Styela clava: one gene and its partners. The protein of the gene in region 1 interacts with the protein of each later gene in a pairwise test. Links are inferred from orthologs where the notes say so. Each region holds a gene or a part of one and is shown in the gene's direction. Other genes may lie near its edges. The genes, in order: regulator of telomere elongation helicase 1-like, large ribosomal subunit protein bL12m-like and vacuolar protein sorting-associated protein 51 homolog.

Region 1 (8,475 bases):
AATGTAAAACTACTCGGAAACATGAAATATCATAGGTGAAAATGTAAAAAATGAAGAAGAAAAAATCAACAAAAAAATTCAAGTATAATGAACTTATCAATGTTCAACTCATGTGTATTTTCATTGTCATATCATGCTTGTTTTAGTGTGTGCCGTGTATATTTGCTATGTCACATGCTTGATTAGACATGATTTGATAATGTCTGAATTACCCTGGATAGCTTATACCAACTTATTAATTGAAAATGAATTGAATTTTTGGAATTATTTGTGAATCTAATGTAGTCGATTCTGTTATTAGCACCAGTATTTTTTTCAAGTTCACATATGTGATGAATTTATTCTTTAAATATTCTTTAAATAACTTGCTACAGTGTTGCCCAAAATACAACTTTTGACTAGGTAATGAATGTTTTTACATGAATTTCCGATTTGTGAAGACTATAAACCAGACAAAGTTGATACTAAATGAAAAAAAATGACATTTTGTAGGAATTTTGGCAAAAAATGAACTTTTTTTTCAAATATTCTCAAAAAAATTTGCTGTACACCAGTGTTGCTCAAATACAACTTTTGATTACTTATTTCAATTCTATTTTGGTGGGGTGCATTTTATATTAATATGGAATGAATTCATTGTTGGTTTATGCTTAATCTTATACAAATTCAACTTTCTGATTGCATATAACTCAAAATTTGGCTCAAATTGTTAGCGACTCTAGGTTTATTACTGTAAATTGCAAGTATATTTGCTCTGATTTTATAGCATTGTACATTCATATGAATTATTGTTCATTAAAGTAGTAGAGCAGGCGTTTGATTGGTTGCGGTGGTAGTTGATTGTGTTCCGCCTTTGTATTTTCTCAGCTTCGGCCGATTTGAGTCGATACTGTATTTTTTTGTGTTAGATTGGATGATTTTGTGTTTGACGTGTTCTCGTTTATTTTTTGTGCTTTAATTACTATTGTTTTAATTAATATTCACGTAATGCTAGCTAACAACTATATGTTTGTGTTACTAACAATTTTGTGTTAACTTGATAGCGATTGCCCCCTATCGCAGCGGGAAAGCAAAAGCAACTTTTTTATCGAACCAGAAACCACTTTAATTTTTAGTTTGTTCTTTTTTAGTTTTATCCATGCTACCGTACTACTAGCAGCGTGTTTGTATACGCATGTAATTGATTTTTGTTTCACTGCTTCTCTTTTTCATTTCGGTTTGTTCGAAAGCGCCTTACTTCGATTTTTGTTATTATCATTTCATGTCCGAGCACTCTACAGATTTTTTCAAAATCAGCTTTGTGCTGGATATGGTTTACAACACGTTCTTGTGTCACTACTCGTTTGAACTATTTTTGATTTAATCTAACTGCACGGGATTAAAGCATTGGTTATGTTAATATAGTTAGGGCTGGGTGAATCCGCAGGGTTCAAAATGATAAAGATAATTCACACAAACTTATTGTACACAAATTAAAATGATTTCAACAAAAAATACATCACAGTATTAAAACTCTAACAACTTGAGCTTTTTTGTAATCTATGAATAAAATTAAGTTTATGAATTGATTGTTTGATTTTGCCCGGCCCTAGCTTTTGTCCGAATCGATTTTGCACTTATGTTTCACAATACTTATAAGGGAAATGATAGTCACATGAGACTCTACCACTTTTTATATCACACCTCAGTCTTCAATTGCATTTAAAAGTACAATATGATTTTTTCCCTAATCAAAATTTAACCAATCTTATGACGAAGTGTCTTTAAGCTCATGATCATCTCAATGTTATCCAGGTTGTTAGACAATTATTAATGGAAAAATACCCTGTCAGATTCCACTTTCTTATTTAAACAACATTATTCAAATGTGCAAATTTGGAGAATATTCTTCCATTGCATTGATTACTAGAACGCTTGAATATTTAATGCATTAAGATTCAATTCATTTTTAAATTGTTTTCGTAAACGGCCAACCTGACTGAGCTAGACAGTGGGAATAACTTGCCTGTTTTGAAGATAAAGTGTACTTACGTTGTTGTGTTGAAATGTCAGGTTTTATCTATATTATGCATCAAAAAAAGGATTCTGATGTAAAAAATCTAGTTATGAGTGTTAATTAATATTAATAATTATTAATACTAAGCGGTGATTTATATTATTTGCACGAAAATTTTTTTTCACTCAATGTTTTAGTTGACAAATTTAAGACACAATATTTTGTTTGCGTTTCTGATGCCATAATTTTAAGATCCATCCATATATAATATTATTTACTTGTAATCCCATTTGATTGTTTTCTAATATTAGGTTTGATTTGGATTCTGTGAGTTAACATAACCAAATTTTGATTATAATGTTAATGCTGTGATATATGTTTTGAGCAAATAGGAAAATTGCTTGAAACGCTATGATTTGTATTTACCGTAGTCTAAATCCGGCATCTGACTAAAATAGAATCTTTTACTGAAGTTAGATTTCAGATAAAATGCCAGTAAAAACAGATTTTCAGGTGAAATGATCTGTCTCATATCTTTTATGGAAACCAACTTGCCAATTATATACCTGTTGTAACAAAACAAAAAATTTAAAGTGTTCCGTGTATTTGTTTTCAATATTTTTTTGTTCATTTTCATTCCACACTGAGCAGTTACTCGCTTTTTGATTCCTTTTTGCCTTTTTTCACTTTTTTCTTTGGTTTGAAATTCTTACTGATCGTGTTGGAGTTCGTTAATTTTCCTCGATTATTGCACCTTTTCATTTCTTTATGAATTTCTTCCTTTCACTTGGTTATCGCTTTGTTCATTAATCTGATTTAAACACATACTTGCGATTATTGGCTGGTTATATTGCATAGCAGATTTCAATAATAACCGGATATTTGAATTATCCAGTGGGCCGTGCTGTGCTTTTTTTTCTTTTTGTGATGTTTGCTCCACCACCATCTTTTTTCATAAAAATATGGATTCAAATCTCAAGCACAAATTAAAAAAAAATATTAAACCAAATTTTTTTATGCTGTTAAAGAGTATCCAGTGAAGTTTGTCAATCAATCATTATCATCAAAATTTTCTTGTAGTTTTGTATTTTTGTTAATATTCATTTTTTTGTATGGATTGCAGTTCTTTTGGTGATTATTTGCAGTGATAATAGGTATAGTCCGTGTTACTTTTTTGTGTAATTTTCTTTCGGTATCCAGAAAACCATTGTCATACGTTATCAAAGTCTTTCAAATGCCAAGATCTTAAGGCTTTTCGTGTGTGACAAATTCAACATCTTTAAGTCATGCATAATCAAGTTACCTAAGATCTTTGGTATCTGTATGAAAAATTTGACTCAGATAATTCAGTGATTTGCTGATTGAATGTGATGCATAATTTTTGATTATTTTCACATATCAGTCTGTCATTTGAGTTAACTCCATTGTTTGTTTATATTTGTTTGTATACTCACGGCATGACAATTGTCATTAGCACTACCATCATTAATATTGTATTAGAATAACCCTGTGACCAGATGAAAAAATATACTAAATCCGTGTAATTTTGAGGGAAATAAAAATACTTACATGGTTAATGGTGTTGTTTGTTTTTCTATTGAAATATGAAGGAAGGTACATATTATTCCAGACTGGGACGAAACTTCGTAAATTCATTTACAAAGAGACAACGCTAATATGTGGGTTCAGTACAAATACGTCATAATTTTGTCAAAATAAGCATGCGTGTGTTGGTATGCTCAATAATAGCTTCATAGTTTTGCCCCATTGGGCAGGCGAACATGGGTTGGTGAGTGCAGGAAATACTCTCTAAATCGAAATATTTTGATTGGTAAATCGATAAATCTGAATTGAAGGTGTATCTACTATCTATCCTACTGGTCATGAAATTCTGTTTTGTTAGGACAAATCGCTAATCCCACGTAGGATTTGCAATCGACTGCGGACTATTTTCAATTTTGACTTCTTTTATCCCCATTGGAACTTCAAAAGTCTGAATTTTCGACTCCATTGAATTTAGAATTTTGACTCCAGGTCCTGAGAATTTTGCAAATAGGACTCCGACAAGAACATGCCGAACTCCAAGTACGCGCCGCGGGTTAAGAGTTTTACCACCTTTGTATCTTCAAGAACCCGACATGCTAAAATGGCCGAACCCGAGATGGCGCTGCGGTGTTAAAATAAATCCCTGTCAAAACTTGGCGCCAGTTTCGCTTCCACTGAAGATGAGAGATTGTTAGATATAGGATTTACACAGTTATCCCGGTGGAGAGGAAAGTAGTTATGTCGGTGGAGTGGAAAGTCGATGAGAGGGCTTAACCACGGCCTCCCATGGGTCTCCATCCGTTTACCAGTCCGCCCTTGAGCAATTATTACAGAGAGAAAGTTTATCATTCTATATTTTTGTCCATAGTCTTTTCGCCCCTCGTTGCTTTTTCTATCCCCAGGTTGCATACGACTGTACCTGGTCTAAATTATGACTTTGACTTTCAATCGCCATGGGAGTTGCTTAATAATAATGATAGACTATATAAATTTGTCTACCGATATTTATTTACCACAGTAGCGACTTATGCTGGTAAACTGCGGTTTCGGTACAACCTGACGCTGTTACACCCTGACTATGGTACTGGACTACATAACTATGTCCAAATGTCTTTTAATTCCACATATTTATGCTCTTATATTTTCCCAATTTCCAAAGTGATTGATTGTAAAGCAAAATCATAACTAAAACTATCTTTTGATCACAAAACCACCATCACTGCTGCACTACTATAAGATAGACATTTTATTTCGAACTCCATTTAGTAAATGTTATAGATGAAGACAATGCGAAATGAGTAAACAAACATTGGAACACCCATAATTCAGCAATTCCTAGGTCTGTACATGCAAAAATTAGAATTTCAAAACAAAATCAAACTGCTGCTAGTTAGAATTTCATTTATACATTAGAACATTCAAGTTTTTTTTATTATGTCAGGCATCTATTATACCGTATCTGTAGTCTATATGCATGGTTGTGGTATAGTATAGTACGGTACCAAAATTGTTGAGGCATGCCAACTAGAAGTACTTGTGGTCCATGGTACTATACCAGACCTAAATTTGTGAATGAATAAGTGTCAGTCTAACTTGCTCATTGTAGTTGATTTTATAGTTTTAATTCCATTCTTTTGAGAATTTTGTTGCTGTTAAGTGATAATAATTATTTTTATACAGATTCATATAAACTAGTTAGAGTTTAAAATGGATTATTTTAAATAAGAACAAAAAATCAGAAAACTTTGCCTCTGAATTGTCAAGTCTTTTGGCTAATTCAAGTCTTCCGTTCACCATGCCTACTTTCAAACTGCGGGATGTGGAAATTGAATTTCCCTTCAAGCCGTATTTAGTACAAATTAAATATATGGAAAGTGTGATTAAGTCATTACAAACCGGGAAGAATGCGTTACTGGAATCACCAACAGGGACAGGAAAAACTTTGTGCCTCTTGTGCGCAACCATGGCATGGCGAAGATTAGAAATCAAAAAGCGTACAGTGGAAAAGTCTTTGATTCCTGATAGTAAAGAGCCTGATTACCCCTTAGGATGGGGCTCTAGCGATGCAGTTCCCGGGGAAGAGCCCGAACAAAGCATCCCAACGGCCCCAAAAATTATATATGCTTCCAGAACCCATTCACAATTAGCTCAAGTCGTCAAAGAACTGAAACGAACTGCGTATGCCAAGGATGCTAAAATCAGTATTTTAGGATCCCGGGAGCAAATGTGTATTCACCCAGAAGTGTCAAAGCAAACCAACAATACTGCAATGATTCATTCGTGTCGTAATAAAGTTAATAAACATCTCTGTCATTTCTACAACAATGTTGAAAATGTGAGAAAAGCAGGATCATTCACAAATGAAGTTTTGGATATTGAAGAATTGGTTGCGTTGGGGAAGAAGAGGAGTGCCTGCCCTTATTATGCAGCAAGGTTATATACAGATTTCTCTATTTGATATCATAAGTTGAAATAATGAGTTGGTATATAAATAATATCCATTTACCGTACGTAGCAAAAGTTATATCTGGACTTGTAAGGGGTTATAGGACCTTTACCATACATTTTTATATCAATTTGGTTTATGTATTTGTCTTTTCTTTTCAATATCTGCTATACTCTCCATTGTAATTGACCATAATTCGTGCCAAATGATATTGTAGAGAAAATTTTACTAAAATTAAATTATGGAAAGGAAATAATTTATCATTTATGCACATTTAACCAATGGCGTACTTGAGCTTGTTTTTGTGTATTTAATCATATTTATTAACATTAATTTTATTAGTTTCGATCAATTAATATAAAGTTATAAACACAAACATATGACTAATAAATCTTTATAAAAAGGATCCAAAAATTTGTCACACAGTCAAAATTTGAGAGTCATTGGTGTGGTAGATTGGTATGTGATCACAGATTAGAATGTGGATAAAATTGAATTGAACTTGAAAAAAAAAAATCATTTTCATCTTCTAGAGAGCAATCAAAAGAGGCAGACTGTGGCATCATTTTCACGCCTTATAATTATTTATTGGATCGGAAAGCACGTCGTTCTCATAATCTTGAAGTATCTGGCAATGTGATTATATTTGACGAAGCTCATAATCTGGAGAAGATGTGCGAAGAATCGGCTTCATTTGATTTAACATCAATGGATATTGCAAAATGTATTCAAGAAACTGGAGAACTATTAAAAGCTGCAGTAAATCTTTCTGAGACTGGGACTGTACCTGATGGTTATGAGGCTGGTATGTTATTATGTTTATGTGTGTGTGGGCGCTCAGGTAGTACATGGTAGTTTCATGTTTCATTCATACATTTGACTCTCTCCATTCAACTAGTTGTCTGATAGTTCAGCTTGATGCCAGCTTTTATTTAATCGTTTAAGTTTGATTTTTGGTTGATAATTGTGTACCACCATATATTTTCAGGAGAGTCATCAGCACTTGGTGAATTCAATCTTCAGGAATTAGCAACGTTAAAAGCATTATTCGTCCATCTTGAATCACATCTTCAAGCCATACCACTTTCTGGTGTAGAAAAGAGTTTGACAAAAAAGGGAAGGTATGATGATATGGAATATTTTTATTCAAAAATGTAGCCCTAGCGCACTCCAGCAGATTTTTATTTCTCTTTCTACGCAGATGCGCTTATTTAGTCCTTAATTAGTCCAGGAGTCCTTTCAAAAAAAGTAGTTTTCACTCAGAAGTGCCTTGTTTGGAGTCTTAGTAACTCTTTGAAAACACCTCGTGTAAAAGTTACAATGTTTTCTTATTTTTACAGATACATGTTTGAGTTTTTGGCCGCTCTGAGTGTGAACTTTACAACACATGAGACAATCATTGATCTTGTCGACAAGGTGGTGACTTATCTTTCCACCCTGAGTAACTCATTTCAAACTAGAGGAACAGCTTTACAAAAGTTTTCGGAGATCCTGAAAATCATATTCAGTGCAGCGGGAGGACAAAATCCTACCCTACCATCCACTCTTTTAAACTCCAATGTAGCAACCGAGATGATGATGAGTGAATTATCAAAATTTTATCGCGTACATATTCGAGAAGACGAAGTAAAATCTAAAAACTCTTGGGGAGGGAAACAAACTTTTCAAACTACGACTACAGAATCTACGGGTACACAAAGAACGCTGAGTTATTGGTGCTTCAGCCCGGGATACGCAATGAGAGATTTACTAGCTTGCGGAGTAAAAAATTTAATTTTGACAAGCGGAACTTTATCGCCGATTGAATCCTTTACCTGCGAACTTCAAGTTGATTTCCCGATCACGTTACAAAACACTCACGTCATTGATAATCATCAAGTTTTCGTTGCTTCTTTAACGAAAGGACTCACAGGAAGACGTTTAGAATCAACGTACAAAACTAGAGGAGATTACAGACTGGCACAAGATATTGGAAATATTCTTATTAGAATGTCTAGAATATGTCCTGGTGGATTGCTAGTGTTTTTCCCATCTTACTTGGCCATGGAAATTTACACCAAGACATGGAGGGAGTTAGCTCCTGATATTATGAGGTACATAGATCTGTAATAAGTAGAAAATGCCCCACGTCTTTCACAATATCAAAATCCAGTAAAAATGTAAGCTTTCTCATCATAAGAGGTACTCAGAAAATTCAGCATAATAATCAAATTTAAGATAATCCAATCAAAAAAGTCGTATCTTGAAAATTTACTTAGTCAAATACTGGTACTGTTTTAAAATGACAGTATTATTTATAGTTGATACATACCTTTATTTTGCTGAACATCAATTTGGAATATTCAGAACATCAGGTAAAAATTCGAAAATTTCGCATCATTTTGTACTATCAGTATGTCATGTTTATGTCACTTTTTTCATCAGGCAGATCGACTTGATTAAACCTTGCACAATTGAGACGAGAAATAAAAATGGTTTGAAAGAAGCC
Region 2 (7,210 bases), on another chromosome or scaffold:
AAATTTGGTTTTAGTTTGAGTTACTTAACGAGCCGGATTGGCCCGCGGGCCGTAGTTTGGCCATGCCAGGTTTTGAAGGACTGGAATCTTTCCAGTTTGGCATTGCATACCCAATTTATCATAGCCTGCGTGTGCTCGTATCATAATTAAATCTAAAGCTTTAACCACTAAGCCATTACACCCACTTTTGTAATGTTTATGAAATGATTGAAAAAATATATTTAGATAATCTACAACATCACTCACGGATCTTTGCAGGATTGAAACAGTTCAGTAATAACATCCATGTCATTCAATTGTAAAGCAAGTCTCATTGCTTCAGCATACCGATCAAAATTTCTGAACAATCTTATAGTTGTCTTCAACAACGTTATATTCTCTGGATCGGGTGTATATGGCACACAGCTGAAATAGAAAAAAGTTTTTTCGTTGCATCGAATGATATTGAGAAAACCGAATGATAATTTAAAAAGATCTATGGTGTTCATAGTGATATACATTCGAACATTGCTGTCTTGTTATTTTATGGAAAATGCAACAGAATTTACCTTGTTAGATAAAGACAAACTCTCGAAAAAGTACTCTTTTCAACAAATTTATCAAGTAATTCAAGTTTGTTTATTTCCATCAATAAATCACAAGCATCCGTCTCTCCATTGTGCTTCATGTTATAGGGAACAATATCCTGAAACAAAACAAATTTGAAATTATAATTTTATAATTGATGCTTATTCAAACATTTTGCTCCCAACAAGGCCCTGTGCAAGCAGCCACTGCCATATCACAACAAATATCTCTGGTCCGGCATTGACGACCTAATTTATGATTTACACCCTGAGTGAGGTGGAGGTCATGAGATTTGAACCTGAGATGTGTAATCTGCGATAACAACACTATTGAGCTAATCTATATTTAAGTAGTATCCAATCGCAGAGTCACCGTTTAGACCCTTACATTTCCATCTAGCATTGAAAACCTATATAGTTATCTGTTTATCAATGCCATAGTGGAACTCTTCAATCAATAGTCCTTCCATTCAAAGTGGAGGGTTCAGGACCTTGCTCCGAGCTAACCATGTGTGTAATGAATTGGGTAGAGAGTGAATCGAAAGGATCATGGCTATCATAAAAATAAACGCTTCTTACATATCAGTGTCTGCTTATACAAGGCCTTATTCAGAGTGATAGGCATGAAATAAGCATCACATAAAAAATTAGTCTTACAAAAAATTAAATTTGGAATATTGTAAATGTAATCCACCTCTATTAAGTTGCCAAGTGCATCCAACTTCTTAGCATCTGGTTCCCCTTCTGCATCCATAATCTCCTTCCATTCAGAAGCTACCTCGCCTGATAAATGTCTGATGAATAAACAAGTATATTAATAAACAGGACTGAAATTAATTGAAAAGTATTGTATACTTCAATTGGTAAATATTAAAAAAAATTGATTTCAATTAATTTCATGAATTTTGAGATTAGAGCCATTAAGGCTTTAAAATTTACAACTGCATCTCTGAATGATTTCTGTAGGTTTTATTTATTCTTCAGTGAAATAATATTTTTTTTTATCGAGAACACACCTGACATATTCATGTCCCCAAGATCCAATTTCTTCCTGAGTACCAACGAGTCGATATTTTAAGCATTCTCTTTCTTCTGACATTGTCATTCCTAGCACTGATACAATGTCAGCACAAAATTTCTGAAAAAGGGGTAAAAATACTTTCATTTCAAACAGAAATTTTCCAATCAGACAATGAAGCCTGATTTGTGTACGATTGAGATGGTCCAGTTGTTGCTCCAAATTAAAAAGTTATAAACAGAGGCAGAGCTGTGAACATCTGTTTTGGTGACAAAAACTTTGCGAATACAAATTTTCTTTATTTGTCGTAGTCAACTTAGTGCTTTCTCAATTCTCTCAAAAACTTTTTGACTTCTAATATCACCGTCAAAAGTCCAGACTTAGACTCCGATGCCAAAAGAAAAAAAAAAAAAATCAATCAGCATTATAATATAAGAGCAATTTTTCTTCAATGTGATTTATCTCAACAACTGCTATGATTCACTTAAAATATCCTTTCTGACATACTTTGTTTCTGCCATCTGGAATTTTTTCATAAATTTCTTTCAAAGTCCCATAATGTGGTCGAAGAAATTTTAATGGTTTTGGTACAGATGTTAATGATGCAGTAGATGAACGAATCTTCGTTCGTAAAATTTCAAGAGCTGAGTGGTATAAAGAAGAGTCATCTTCCTGTAAAAAAAAGTGAAACTAAAAGGATAGGTACATAATTTTCAACAGCAGAGGTAATCATTCTTAAATATAAACTTCGAAAAAGGCAATGTAGTCATTTGTTTACATAATTGTGGTCTAGTGGGGTTGAATCTGAGAACAATTACAAGTTAACCCTTTCCCACCCCCCTAAAAAAAAACTTCGGAAGCGTCCTAGATTTCTGGCACTTTGACAATTTTGGTTTTAATCCTTTTTAATGATTTTTTTAATGATTTAATCCTAAAGTGTCATACACAAACATAATTTCAAGTGATAAATAAGTTTTTATTCATTTTCATAGAAGTATTTAAGAAATTTATTGGTTCTGTTATTTGGGTCATCCTAGAAAACAAAGCTTGCACTTCATCACATAATATATTATACTGTATTACACAATTTCTATTCCTCAAACTATAATTACCGTAAATCATGGGAAATACCTTGTAACTTGTGTTGAATATTGGATATGATTAGAAAATCATTAGTCAAAAGTGAAATCTTATTATAACCATAATAGGTCCACATATCGTATATGCTCGCGAATAGGCCGAATTTAAAACTCAAAAAAAAAAGTTGCCAAACTAAGGGACCGTTCTCGCATAACTCAGATTGCACCAAAAAATCGACTCATTCGCGCATCAGAATTTTATCACGCAACGAGATGATATTATGCTGACTTGCCGGTAATTCCAAACGCTTCAAACCATACCAAGTTCTCACGATGAAAAAGTGTGCACGCACACACACACACGCTTGTGAAAGTGGATTGTCTTATCATACAGCATTACACATACAGACAACACAATCAGTTAAAAAAGACTTCAAACCTTCAATCTTTCCACACATAGATTCAATTCATCCAGTAGTTGTTTGTCTTCATCAGTCTAGATTAAAAAAGTTATTATATTAATAAAAGTCAACCAACCGAAGGTGTAAATTTATATAAAGCAAAAATAATGAAATAAAAAAAGGATGAAGTAGGCTAATTTATTTTTTAACCATTCTTGAGGTTTCGTTTCTCCGTGTTCAGGTGTGCAAAGGAGGGGATGTTTTAACTTCAATTTTCTCATTAGCTAAATATTTTTACATCCTTGATTTCTTATTTATATAATTTTTGAGAAACCTGATTTCACACCGCCGAGCCAAGGAGCCTCAAATTCTTCTAGATGCGCATTGATCAATGTATAACCATATATTCTTTATCAAAAGCCTTGCCTCAAAGAGCAGGAAAATATTGAAAGCCAGTGACATTAAGATTACAACTGAAAAAGATACCGGTAGGCTAGAATATGACTAACCAACTCAGGTTCTTTTTCCTCTTTCTTTTCTACTTTGTCTTTTTCATTGGTAGGTTTCTCCGCTGGTGTTTCTTTAGAGGTTACAGGAGCCATTCGTTTTTCAAACTTTATTTCAACTCAACTACAGTTATCTGAAGTAAACGCACAAACAATCGTGCACTAGTGTTAGCACCAGCAACTCCGAATATTACATGGAAAATAAACATGAGTCATCGTTCAAAACCATGACAAGCAAATTTGAAACAAATCATATGGTGGCGTAAAAAAAAGTTTTAACATAAAATTGGGATCCCTAGAAAATTCTGACCATATAATCAAGGAATTTTGACTTAAAATTCTCATTCTAATTCTGGAATTAATTTTGAATTCCATGAGGACATTTATAAACATTTTCACGCCTATTATTATACTGAATATGTACGGGGGTATAAATAAATTAATTTTTTGGAGTTCAATACGACACGTTCGCGATAGAGTTGAGATTCAATTTTGGCATTTTAAATTCTAAAAAAATGTTCTAAAATTCTAAAAAAATTTACGTATGACAAAATTGATCCAACCCAAATGTTACGTGTTTTTTCATCACCTGTATAATTTTTCAGTATTTTATGTGACGTCTATCTAACTGAAGCCACAAAAGTTGCCACGGGCGCCAGTGCCACCCATGCTGCATCGCGCCTTACTTTCGGTACGATTATTTCCAAAGTGACTGTCACTTCGGTTATTTCTAAGGTTTGGATAGGTTTCATAAACAGGTACGGTAGGCGCTCGTTTCTCAATCAGTTCTCGAAAGAAATAAAAACATGTGATAAATTTAATGAGGGATAGGGAAATCTGCTTTATGTAGAGATGCCTCTCGCAGTGTGGACGACTTTCTCATTCGAAAACTTGCGATATTCTGCTTTCCTGTTAATTGACTAGCTGGAGTTATGAAAAAAAAATTGTTGACAGTTTTAAGCAAAATGGAATTAGCATCACAATTCTCAAGTATTTTGAAAATTCTATTGATTTTAATAGGGTACGCAAAGTTCTCTTCCTTCTCTTTTCGTTAATTACTAATCAGTAATAGCTTTCTGCTAGTTCACTATAGATTTGTTTTGTCAATCTCAAGGCAGTAAATGCAGAAGGAAATTTTCTATTATCTTGATCACTTTTTGCTTTTGGGTAATCTTGTCAATTGCTGGGGTCTCGTGCAGTTTCGTACCTAACCTACTTCTACTAGGCGTAGCATATCAATTTTTTCACCTGTCAATCCTAACCCCCACCTGACTACGCCATCCAAAAATTACGTCACTACGACATCACAATCACATCATAGAGCTTGCCAAATATACATATGATCGCCCGAAGTGGCATTGGCGCCGACGATAAAGAGCTGACTGACGTCATCGATCTCTCTCCTATCGGCAAGAAAACGAGAGAAATAGCTTTTCTATTTCGGGTGCTCGTCTGCGCGTCTTGGATGGCAGTTCATATAGTTTGAAGGGCTATATTACGTCACTGTGACGTAATTTTTGGATGGCGTAGTCAGGTGGGGGTTAGGATTGATATGTGAAAAAATTGTTATTCTACGCCCACTAGAAGTATGTACACGAGACCCAATTGCTGCGGTCTTTAGTTTGATAGTTCTAACATAAAAAAAAATATTAGTAGTCTAATTACTGAATTAATAATATTTTCGTAATAATAACCTATCATTTCAGCAAGCAATTGCCATAAATCGTGAACAATATGTTTGCAATTAGACAAACAAGAATACTTTTTAGAACTGATCGATTGCTGAAATGCAATGGTATCGTGCGCAGAGGTAAAGATGCAATGTCTACAGCAGCAGCTCAAGGGATCGAGAAAATCCCACCACCACCGCTAGAAGGAAGTAAAGAATTTCCACCAAAAATTGTAAAAATAGTCGATGAAATCTCAAATCTTACACTCATAGAAGTATCGGAATTAAACGAACTCTTAAAAATCAAATTGAATATCAGTGATATTCCAATGATGGTTGGTGGAGGTATTGCTCCCGGTGCCAGTGCTGCTCAAGCGGAAGATGAAGCTCCAGCTTCGAAAGAACAAACTGAGTTCACAGTCAAACTTACTGCTTTCAAACCAGATTCAAAAGTTAAATTAATCAAAGCAATTAAACTTTTAATGCCAAACCTCAATCTTGTAAAAGCGAAAGGATTTGTGGAAAGTGTACCACAAATTGTACGACAAGAAATACCAAAAACAGAAGCTGAGGAATTATCAAAAACATTAACGGAGGCAGGTGGAACTGTTGTTATTGAATGATCTATTTATGAATTTTTTTTAAAAAAGCTTTCAAATCATAAAAAGTGGTTATACTTTAGCAAAGGCTTCCAGGAAACTGTTCAGAGAATTACTATATTTCAATTATTGATTTATGTATTTGACATCATTTTAAAGCAGGCAATTGGTCTTTATTACCTTTTTTGATCTTTATTAGAAACTGAACCAAACGTGGCAAGGTCTGAAAATTGTCCATAGGCAGAGCTATACAGTCATGCTTTCATTGGAGGTTCAAACTGCTGGGTGAAACCGCGGGCCGAACCTTTAACTAAGCATGCTTAACCGTATATTGAATGAGGTTTGCAAAATTTTGAAAATCCTAAATTCAGATTTTTTTTCAAACTGGATTTGAATATAATTTTTCCCTTGACACCATAACCCTGGTGGTAACTTCGGTCAAACATGGACGATTTGATATCAACAACAAAACTTTAAACCTAGCATAGTGTTTCCCAACCAGAGTCCGCAAAGGCATTTGAATGAGTCCGCAACGAGCCAGAAATTCACTGCGGGCCGCAAACGTTTTTTTTTGCAAAAGTTAACTATCAGCCAAGTAACGATTTACGTTAAAATTCACATAAAACATAAAAAGCAAGTTTATCCACATAACATTAATCAAGTCAATTATTACTAGTTACTGAGTATGGCTGGGCATATATTCGAATATTCAACTATTAGAATAGCAATTCACTATTCGAAAATTTGGTAACAGGTGACGCGACAGGTCAAAACGATTGGATTTCACAACTCACTTGCGAATTTCTGACGAAAACCCGAGCACACGTATAGTGTTACTAGCGAGTTCAAACAACGAAAAATTATTTTTTTTAGTAGGTGTCAATGGTGGCAACCCAGATTTTCTGAATTAAAAAGCGGCAATACAAAAAAACTGAAAATAAAACGGAGAACACGATAACTTTTGTTTTATGATTGTACGCGACCGATTAAAAACGCTTCTTTAGACATCGCAAATCGCAGAATTTCGGGTGATACTTTAGTATATGTACCAGGGCATTTTCCCTTAGGCCTCCACATTGGTACGTACAGTACTGGAGAGCCGTAAGTGCTTTAGACATCGCAAATCGCAGAATTTCGGGTGATACTTTAGTATATGTACCAGGGCATTTTCCCTTAGGCCTCCACATTGGTACGTACAGTACTGGAGAGCCGTAAGTGTTGTACGAACAGCTCAGATTTGTTGAATTCACAAAAATACGAATAAAAACAAAATATAATCGGGCACATTATCACACATTTTTGTGTCCACGGATTGTTATGGTATTTTCTGATTAGTATTGCTTTTATTTTGTCAACACAACCGCAGATTAAA
Region 3 (8,288 bases), on another chromosome or scaffold:
GATCACGCATCCAGAATGGCGCGTTTGGTATCTTACGCCCAGACTCGAAAGGAATCACCTGGAGAAATCATGCTTCAAGAAGCACAGATATCTCACCAAATTTCTCACAACCATTATACCGCTACAGGAAAACATATTCCAAGTGATGACAAATGGGCACTAGAACTAGCAGACGCTGTCATAGAACTCAATACATTGGACAAGAAGATGACGGATGTTGCGAAAACGATCAAGGTCAGTGCGCTCAGAGCAATAGGTGTTGAACAAATCACGGCGACAGGAAGAAACTATTACCTTACATATGCTCTGGAGGTAGAGAATAACCTATCACTCGTGCGTTCGAAGGAAGCACTTGAAATGGGTATCAAAGATTCTTCCGTCAGCCGAGTTCTCGAAATACTTTGCTCTAAAGTTCGAGGTCTCGAATGTCAGTATCAAAACTACACAATAGGACTTTCATTCACAGATATACAGAAAGACTACGTAGTCAGCCTGCGTAACAGCGTATGTGATGTATTCGAACCACCACCAGAAAGTATCGTCCCCCAAGTTCAACTTTCCACCAAATCGAATGTGTACAAAGGGATTGTTGCAGAAGATCTGCAACTAGATAAAGAAATCGAATTAGGAAATGTGAAAATTGACTATGGAACTATCGATACTTACAAGGAGTTTCTGGAATGTTTTGATCCATTAAATTCCGTTTAACTAAATATGACATATTATATACCTATAGTTGCCAGTTTAATTTTTTGACCCCACGCTTCCAAACGAAAATTCATAACGAATTATTGTTTTATTTTTGTCATTTACTGTGTTACCTTAATGATCAAATAACCCTAACCATTCAAACAATATCTTATCAAATTTTAGATTAGTCTTTTCTTCTACCTACAGCGATTTTGAGTATCGAGATTTAATAATAGTCTTGTTATATAAATATAAATGTCCAATGTTGCTGTATCAAACGGGTACAAAAGCGCCAATTGTACACCTGAAACCCCGAGAACCAGATTGGGGATTTCTCAGTTCCACAACATGTATTCAATATCTGTAAAATAACTATAACTGTAAGATTAGTTGCAAGGGAACAGTGATGTCCATCGTAATTCTAGCGAAATATTTGATCCCCGATTCTAGACGCCCATAGCAACAAATAGTTGCTACATAGACGTCAGTGAATATAGGCTGGAGATAGACATCAAGATTATACGTAAGAGTACATTATTTTAACAAGAATAAGTTCCTATAATAAAACTATTCCCATTTTGAAATTACGCTGGTGACTGGCAAAACAGTGAATGCATAAGAACCTGCATCAAACATAGTACATAGAACTTCCCTTTCTGAGAATTCATCTGAGAAGAGACTGTTAATTTGAGAACAGGCAAACAGAAGTCCTTTTTTGCGATCAACGAACATCTCTATATAACGAAACTAATTTCGAGCATAACATACTTCTTACTTGTTTAAATGATGATGGATGTTCAGGATAGTTGTACGAGCGCGGTCTTGCGTACTCCAATTTAGTGTCCCCAAATACACATAATAAACAAGAGAGCATTGCTCAAATATATGGAAAAAAGGGCCAACGCAAAATGCGATCGCGAAACCGCCACAAGGTATGCAATTTTTAATTTTGATGACGTCATCACACAAAACTTCAAAGTTAAAAGGAATCCCATAGAGCCCACAGAAATTTTTGAAATAAATAAAGTAGTAGCCTTCTAGCGACAACAATAATCTTTAACCACCGAAAATTTCAAAACAATGGACCTTTCCCCGAGCATCGACTTCCTTGTTTACTTCGTGACATTAGCCAATCAGCAAGATGCAAAAAGGGCGTAACAATGCACCCTTTTCGCATCCGCTCAGACACTTTTCTCACTCAGACAGATTTTCAAGCGTGGTCGTAAACATTACCTCGTTTTCGCGTTTTTGAACTCTATTCGTTAGTTTTTAGTTGTGTTTCGGAAACTTAAATATAAATCAGATAATTCAATGATCACTCTGTCTTCCTAGGAGTTTTAATTTAATTGCAGTAATAAAAAATTAGTGTAGAAATAGCTGTGATAGACTAGGCTAAAATTCTTCACCGGTACTTTTAAAATACAGATTGTTGTATGCGATGTTGATTGCAATGGTAAAGTATAGAAAGGATTTTTCGGGGGTCAGAGGTTGAGGAAAGGTTCATTGGTCCAGCAGGTAAATGGAAAGGGATTTTTTTACAACAGGTGAAGAAAAACACGGGGAAAAATAATAACAACAAGATGAAGAAGAAAAATACCACGAAAAAACTAAAAAAACTTCGACAAAACGATTTGTAGGTCCATTTCGTGTCCAATAACGTATTTGTAAGTCCGTAGGAAAATAACTGGCTATTTGAAATCGTTAAAATGGATGTCATGGCTTGTTAAATAGGAGTAGCTGGCATCGCGTAGTTCTTGGGGAATAGAAAGATTATTCGGAAAGGAACTGGTATTTTAAGAAATCGACATTTTACATGAGTGGGTAAATCAAAGCATATATATATGAGTCCGAGGCAACACTTGGACAATGGGTGCCATTTTGAATCAATTGTTTTCGGTCATGTATCACAGGCTCTCATGGGAATTTCGCACGCACTCATTGAAACATCCCAATATTTCACCAATTTATATATATATTTTACATTGAAGGATTAAGAAAATCGCGTTTTCAAGGAGGAATATTAGCCGAACACATTGATATCATAAAATGTTTGCCAAAGTACGTGTAGGCCTATAATGCATTTAATTGTCACTAAAGAGTTGCTGGATTGTATCCGAAGTAAGATTTGACCATTCTATGATGTCACAGATGGGAAATGATCTTTATCCGGAGAAACCTCATTTCGATGGCCGTTTCCTTATTCAAGTCGACAGCTTTTGACTGTCAATCGTCAACCAAAAACGTACAACTATTGAGTCCAAAGATGTGCTTGACCAGTAATTCTTAAAGTGGGCGATATCGAGGGGAGTGGCAAAGGGATAAAACAGGTAGCCTACCATCTCCTCTGGGGTGACAAGTTGACAATCAGCTTAATAGGAAGCAAAGCTCTATTTGACACGAAAACGAACTACTTGATCCGTCAAAAGTACTTTCCAGTCTTCTTGAACACTGCTGAAAGTTATAAGTACAAGTGAATACCTTAACCTAATGTTTTCAAAATGTTCGGCGACTCACTGCAATCATTTTCCAGCAGTGACAAATGTTTGCAGTTTTTCGTATAATAATTTTCTGCTTCTTCTCACAATAATTTAAAATGCCATTTTTCATTTTCAAGCTTTGCAGACATTTGCTGGTTCTACCTGACTGGCGTAGCTTCCGTACTCTTTCTCCTGGTATTGCCCCATTTAATAATACAATAATTACGGAAGATTTGTAGAATCAAAACCTTTAAATTACTCAAAATATTACATAGAGAATAACGTATTTTCCCGAAAATAAGACCTAGCCTGAATTTTAAAAATGACTTTAATATAATAATAAGCCCTCTCCTCAAAATAAGACCTGGTCGATAACGCAAAATTTTGACCTAGTCTTTAGCAAGAAATCTCTCCTACACGTTTAAAATGATTAATAAACTATGTTTTACAGTTAATTTGAATAAAACGTGTTATTTGTAAGTAAATGGATATCGGCGCTCATATTTTGTATGTTCGAAAATCTCGTAATTCTCTACTTTGTAATTTGGTTTTTAACAAGAGAGCTATGCTCAAATATATGGACACGTAGAGTCACATAATTTTGATGACGTCTTAGCGAAAAAAAAAGTAATAGCCTTCTAATAGCCTTTATCTTTAACCACTAAAAATTTCAAAGCAATTGGTCCAGTATTCGAAGAGAAAAGCGACTTTTAAAAACGTGTCAAGCGGTACTGAGTTAGCAGTCAGGCAGCATCTTACCTGTACACTGTAGGCCATATACGGTAATTGATCACAGAACAGTTGTTCCCTTGCAAATTTTATGTTGTTTACACTTTAGGACAGATAATTGATCACAGAACAATTCTTCCCTTTCAAATTTTATGTTGTTTCCAGTAGACTCTCATCAAAATAAACAAATATAGTAGGCTACAAGTGCTACAACGCTTGCATTACTGCACTGGTAGGACCGTGAAAGAATAAGTTACGGTAATTTCATTGTGGTAAGACACCGGTACCGGCACCAGTATCGTACTTACGTACTGAGCTACCAGTACCGGTTAGCAGTCAGCCAGCATCTTACCTGTACACTGTAGGCCATATACGGTAATTGATCACAGAACAGTTGTTCCCTTGCAAATTTTATGTTGTTTACACTTTAGGACAGATAATTGATCACAGAACAATTCTTCCCTTTCAAATTTTATGTTGTTTCCAGTAGACTCTCATCAAAATAAACAAATATAGTAGGCTACAAGTGCTACAACGCTTGCATTACTGCACTGGTAGGACCGTGAAAGAATAAGTTACGGTAATTTCATTGTGGTAAGACACTGGTACCGGCACCAGTACCAGTATCGTACTTACGTACTGAGCTACCAGTACCGGTACCGAACCTGCAGGTCTGATATTCCGTTCCGCATACGATAGGCTATAAAACTTGCATTGCAGCATTAGTAATACCGCGGAAGGAATAAGTCAATTTCACTGCGTTACGGTACCTGTGTGGCAACTTACCAGTACCGACCTACAGTAGCTGTACTACTGAGCAAGACAATCGATCGCGAAACCGCTTGAAATAGGTGTAAAACAGTGTTCCCATGAGTAAAAATAAATACCGCGAAATTTTGTATGAAATATCATATCTCATAGGATTCATATAAAATTTAAGAATAAACAAAAGTAATAGCCTTCTAGAGAAAAAATTAATCTTTAACCACTGAAAATTTCAAAGCAATTGGTCCAGTATTCGAAGAGAAAAGCGACTTTTTAAAAACGTGTCAAAGAACAAGAACAACAAGAACAACAACAACATAATATTGAAACGATCGTTATGTCCACTACGTGTCCAATAAATGAAAATATAAGATCGAAAATAAGCCCGTGTGTAGACTCAGAGTCAGGCCCAAATTGTTCGGGGTCAAAGATCAGCTAAATAAGCAGAGTAAATCGCGACACTGGAGTTGCTTGCCAGTCAAATCGGCTAATACCGGTAGTTTTTGTATTGTTTTTGTAATCGATTGGCTGAAAAATATATAGATAGTCAATAGATAAAGTTTAGCAATGGAGGAGACAGACGAAAATCGTCAGACGAGACATGCGCGTAAAAATGATATGCTCAAGATGTATTACAATGTCGATGGTCAAAATCAATCTTCAGTTTCCGATGGACATCTGGATATTGACAGCAACAATTTCAAACCTGAGGATTACCTTCGCAAATTAAAGCAGGTTGAATTTTTTGAAATGATTCAAATTTTACTAGTCAGCTAGCCCAATTCACATTTGACACTATTATGCAGTTATGTTCCTGTATTAAAATGGTAAATTCTTCATGTTCAAACGCGGAATGCTAAATTTTGATACCCATAATACTGTAATTGCTTACATTATAGAACTAGTAGCCTAGTTTTGTTTTTGCCCAGTACAGCAGTAATTGTAGATGTAGTTTTTCTAATTTTGATAAAACTTTAATTGAGGTTTTTATTGTAAGGAAAAAAATTTGGAGCAGCTGATGGATACTGAACATGACATGGCACGTCAGATACGAACATTGGACAGTGAAATGCAAGTATGTTCTGCATGTTTTTTAAACGGAGTTACGGTTTAAAAGTTTAAATACATGCATTATTATCCAATGATACATAAATATCCCCTGGCCTTTACCGTCCCTCCATATTGGTGCAAAAACCACAAAATGTAGCTGCACATTAAACTCAAACGAAGTGGAACTCGAAACTGTCTCGGCAATAAATTTTGTGGGTTAAAGTCTGATTAAACAAAGCAGATAATTAGGAAACTATTGTCGAGCGAATTTCGCTGGCGTCACAGTTGATTTATTAGTATCTCACAAAGATAGTGCCGCCGTATCCAGTGCTACCAAAACGACGCCCCTCGTTTCAGAGCTTGTTTATATATTGCTAAATCTGGTCAGTTTTTTTAAACATTGAAACATGTGTCATACTATATGAAATATGCTATTCAAGAAAATGTAGCAAAATTGAATATATTTGTTTTAACAGACGTTGGTGTATGAGAACTACAATAAGTTCATCAGTGCGACAGATACAATTCGTACAATGAAACGAGATTTTCATAAAATGGAGGATGAAATGGAGAAATTAACTGCAAATGTTTCATCAGTTGCAAAATTAAGTTCTGAAATTAACAGTACAATGCATGTAGGTTCTTGTTGCTTACCGTATCCTATTTCTTATCAACAGTATTTCAAATTTTTTTAAGGCATTTCTAATTCATCCAAAATTTATTAACATTTTTGTATCATTTTCTTCCTAATTTTAAGATCTTTTACGTCCTCAATTGCATTTGATAACTTATTTGTTGCCACCTAGGTATGCATCTCACTTGCTTTACAAGATAATTGCATACCCATTTTGGTATCTTTTTAATTCTCATATAAGTCTGTTCCTAACCCTAACTAAAGTCACTGAGATCTCACAACCTCCGATATCGCATACCAAAGTAGTATTGTTTTTTTACACCTCCGCTTAGAACTACTAAACCATTTTGTCTATATTTTGACACCAGCTAGCTGATCATGGATTTGAGCAGTTTCTGATGACCCTCTCATACTTTCCGTAATTTCACTTTAGGACAATCGACAGAAAATACTGAAGCTATCAGGAGTTCATTCACTACTTAAGAAGCTGCAGTTTCTGTTTGAATTACCATCCAGATTACAAAGGTGCCTTGACATGAAATCATATTCTGCTGCTGTGACATATTACACCAAAACACGATCTGTTCTTAGTCGTTACCAACACATGGAATCATTCAGTGGAATTCAACGTGACTGTACTGAAATTATGAATCAAGTTATCGAAAAATTAAAAGACACTTTCCATAATAAGGTATGCTTTTTCAGTAAGGGCTTCCAATTCCACATAGGTGCTATTCCATTATGTTTTATTATTATGATTGGGTTCTGTCCATTCATAGGGCGCATCCGTCTATAAGAGTGTTCCATTAAAAATACTCTACTTCATATTTTGTGCAGAATTCTACACCTCAGCAATTAGCTCAATGTGTTGGCTTATTATTACGATTAGGAGAACCACCAGCATCCTTATGTGATGATTATCTTCAACACACAAAACGAAAGTTACTGGAAGATTTAGAGGTTTGAATTTTATATATCATTTAATAATGTAAACGTATGTTTCACTCAAAACGATTAAGCGATAATGATATTCAGTTACAGTGATGTGATCAAAAACTGTTTTAGTTTAGAGCATGGATGGTGAACCGTTCTTGCTGAATATATTATATTTTTTAATGGAAATTTTTTCCGCAGATGGTATTGCAGATAGATTTTTGATCTTTACGTATCACAGATAATTTTCTGTACTCAATTTTGTGAAATTAATTTTTGTAAACATTGACCCCCTGAGTACAAAGATCTGGAAACTAGCATTAGCAATGCATCAATAAATAAATATTTTCATGCTTTTAAAATAGTTTGGGAGGGAATTCTACTTTTCATATACTGTTATGAAATTTTCTGCTTGGCTTCCAAGTTCCAACTACAATAAAGTTGCCAATATCCAACCCCATTTTTAATTCAGATTTCTGTGGACAGTTCTGAATCGCCACATGTAGATGAGTTTTCGAGTACGATTCGATCTATATTAGGCTATATATGGTCATGATTAATTAAGATATACAAGGATTTAACTCTAAAAATCTGATCTCAGCTTGACGTTTCGCACCGCCCTCTTGTATCGGACCTCCAGAAGTATGTGCACCAAGATGGCGCACAACCTGAACATAGTATGTGTACCAGGTTAGAATTCAGGTTGTGTGCCATCTTGGTGCACATACTTCTGGAGCGACCTCGTATTTACTATTCTTATGATTCATCAATATTCATTTTGAATTTTTCTCAGGAACTGGAATCATATCTATCATGCAACTTCCTTACATCTCCATCAATTACTAGAAGTTCAACAAAAACTACTATAGTCGCAGAAGATAGCAAAAGTATTGGAAATACCAATGAAGAAACAGATGAACATACTGATGATATAGTTGAACAAGAAAATACCAGGTAAAACTTTAAGCCTTCAAAATTAAATACCCTGTTGACATGTTTTTTGTAGCTCA

The links.
Region 2: the proteins of regulator of telomere elongation helicase 1-like (region 1) and large ribosomal subunit protein bL12m-like interact in a two-hybrid assay, tested with the Caenorhabditis elegans proteins (2 studies listed by BioGRID). The link is inferred for Styela clava from reciprocal best matches to the Caenorhabditis elegans genes rtel-1 and mrpl-12.
Region 3: the proteins of regulator of telomere elongation helicase 1-like (region 1) and vacuolar protein sorting-associated protein 51 homolog interact in a two-hybrid assay, tested with the Caenorhabditis elegans proteins (2 studies listed by BioGRID). The link is inferred for Styela clava from reciprocal best matches to the Caenorhabditis elegans genes rtel-1 and vps-51.

What each region holds. Positions count from the first base shown.
Region 1 is NC_135258.1:8,439,825-8,448,299, reverse strand, and holds the start of regulator of telomere elongation helicase 1-like, read left to right. Parts: upstream 1-5,237; 5' UTR 5,238-5,336; coding exon 5,337-5,974; intron 5,975-6,520; coding exon 6,521-6,792; intron 6,793-6,975; coding exon 6,976-7,108; intron 7,109-7,327; coding exon 7,328-8,080; intron 8,081-8,411; coding exon 8,412-8,475. UniProt on the Caenorhabditis elegans protein: A probable ATP-dependent DNA helicase implicated in DNA repair and the maintenance of genomic stability. Acts as an anti-recombinase to counteract toxic recombination and limit crossover during meiosis.
Region 2 is NC_135252.1:17,318,234-17,325,443, forward strand, and holds large ribosomal subunit protein bL12m-like, read left to right. Parts: upstream 1-5,254; 5' UTR 5,255-5,304; coding exon 5,305-5,862; 3' UTR 5,863-6,054; downstream 6,055-7,210. Other genes in the region: 26S proteasome non-ATPase regulatory subunit 2-like, read right to left, coding at 247-405, 549-685, 1,261-1,360, 1,583-1,704, 2,092-2,256, 3,103-3,159, 3,574-3,666.
Region 3 is NC_135251.1:21,118,940-21,127,227, reverse strand, and holds the start of vacuolar protein sorting-associated protein 51 homolog, read left to right. Parts: upstream 1-5,092; 5' UTR 5,093-5,228; coding exon 5,229-5,396; intron 5,397-5,658; coding exon 5,659-5,736; intron 5,737-6,187; coding exon 6,188-6,346; intron 6,347-6,778; coding exon 6,779-7,036; intron 7,037-7,182; coding exon 7,183-7,305; intron 7,306-8,071; coding exon 8,072-8,232; intron 8,233-8,288. Other genes in the region: linear primary-alkylsulfatase-like, read left to right, coding at 1-708.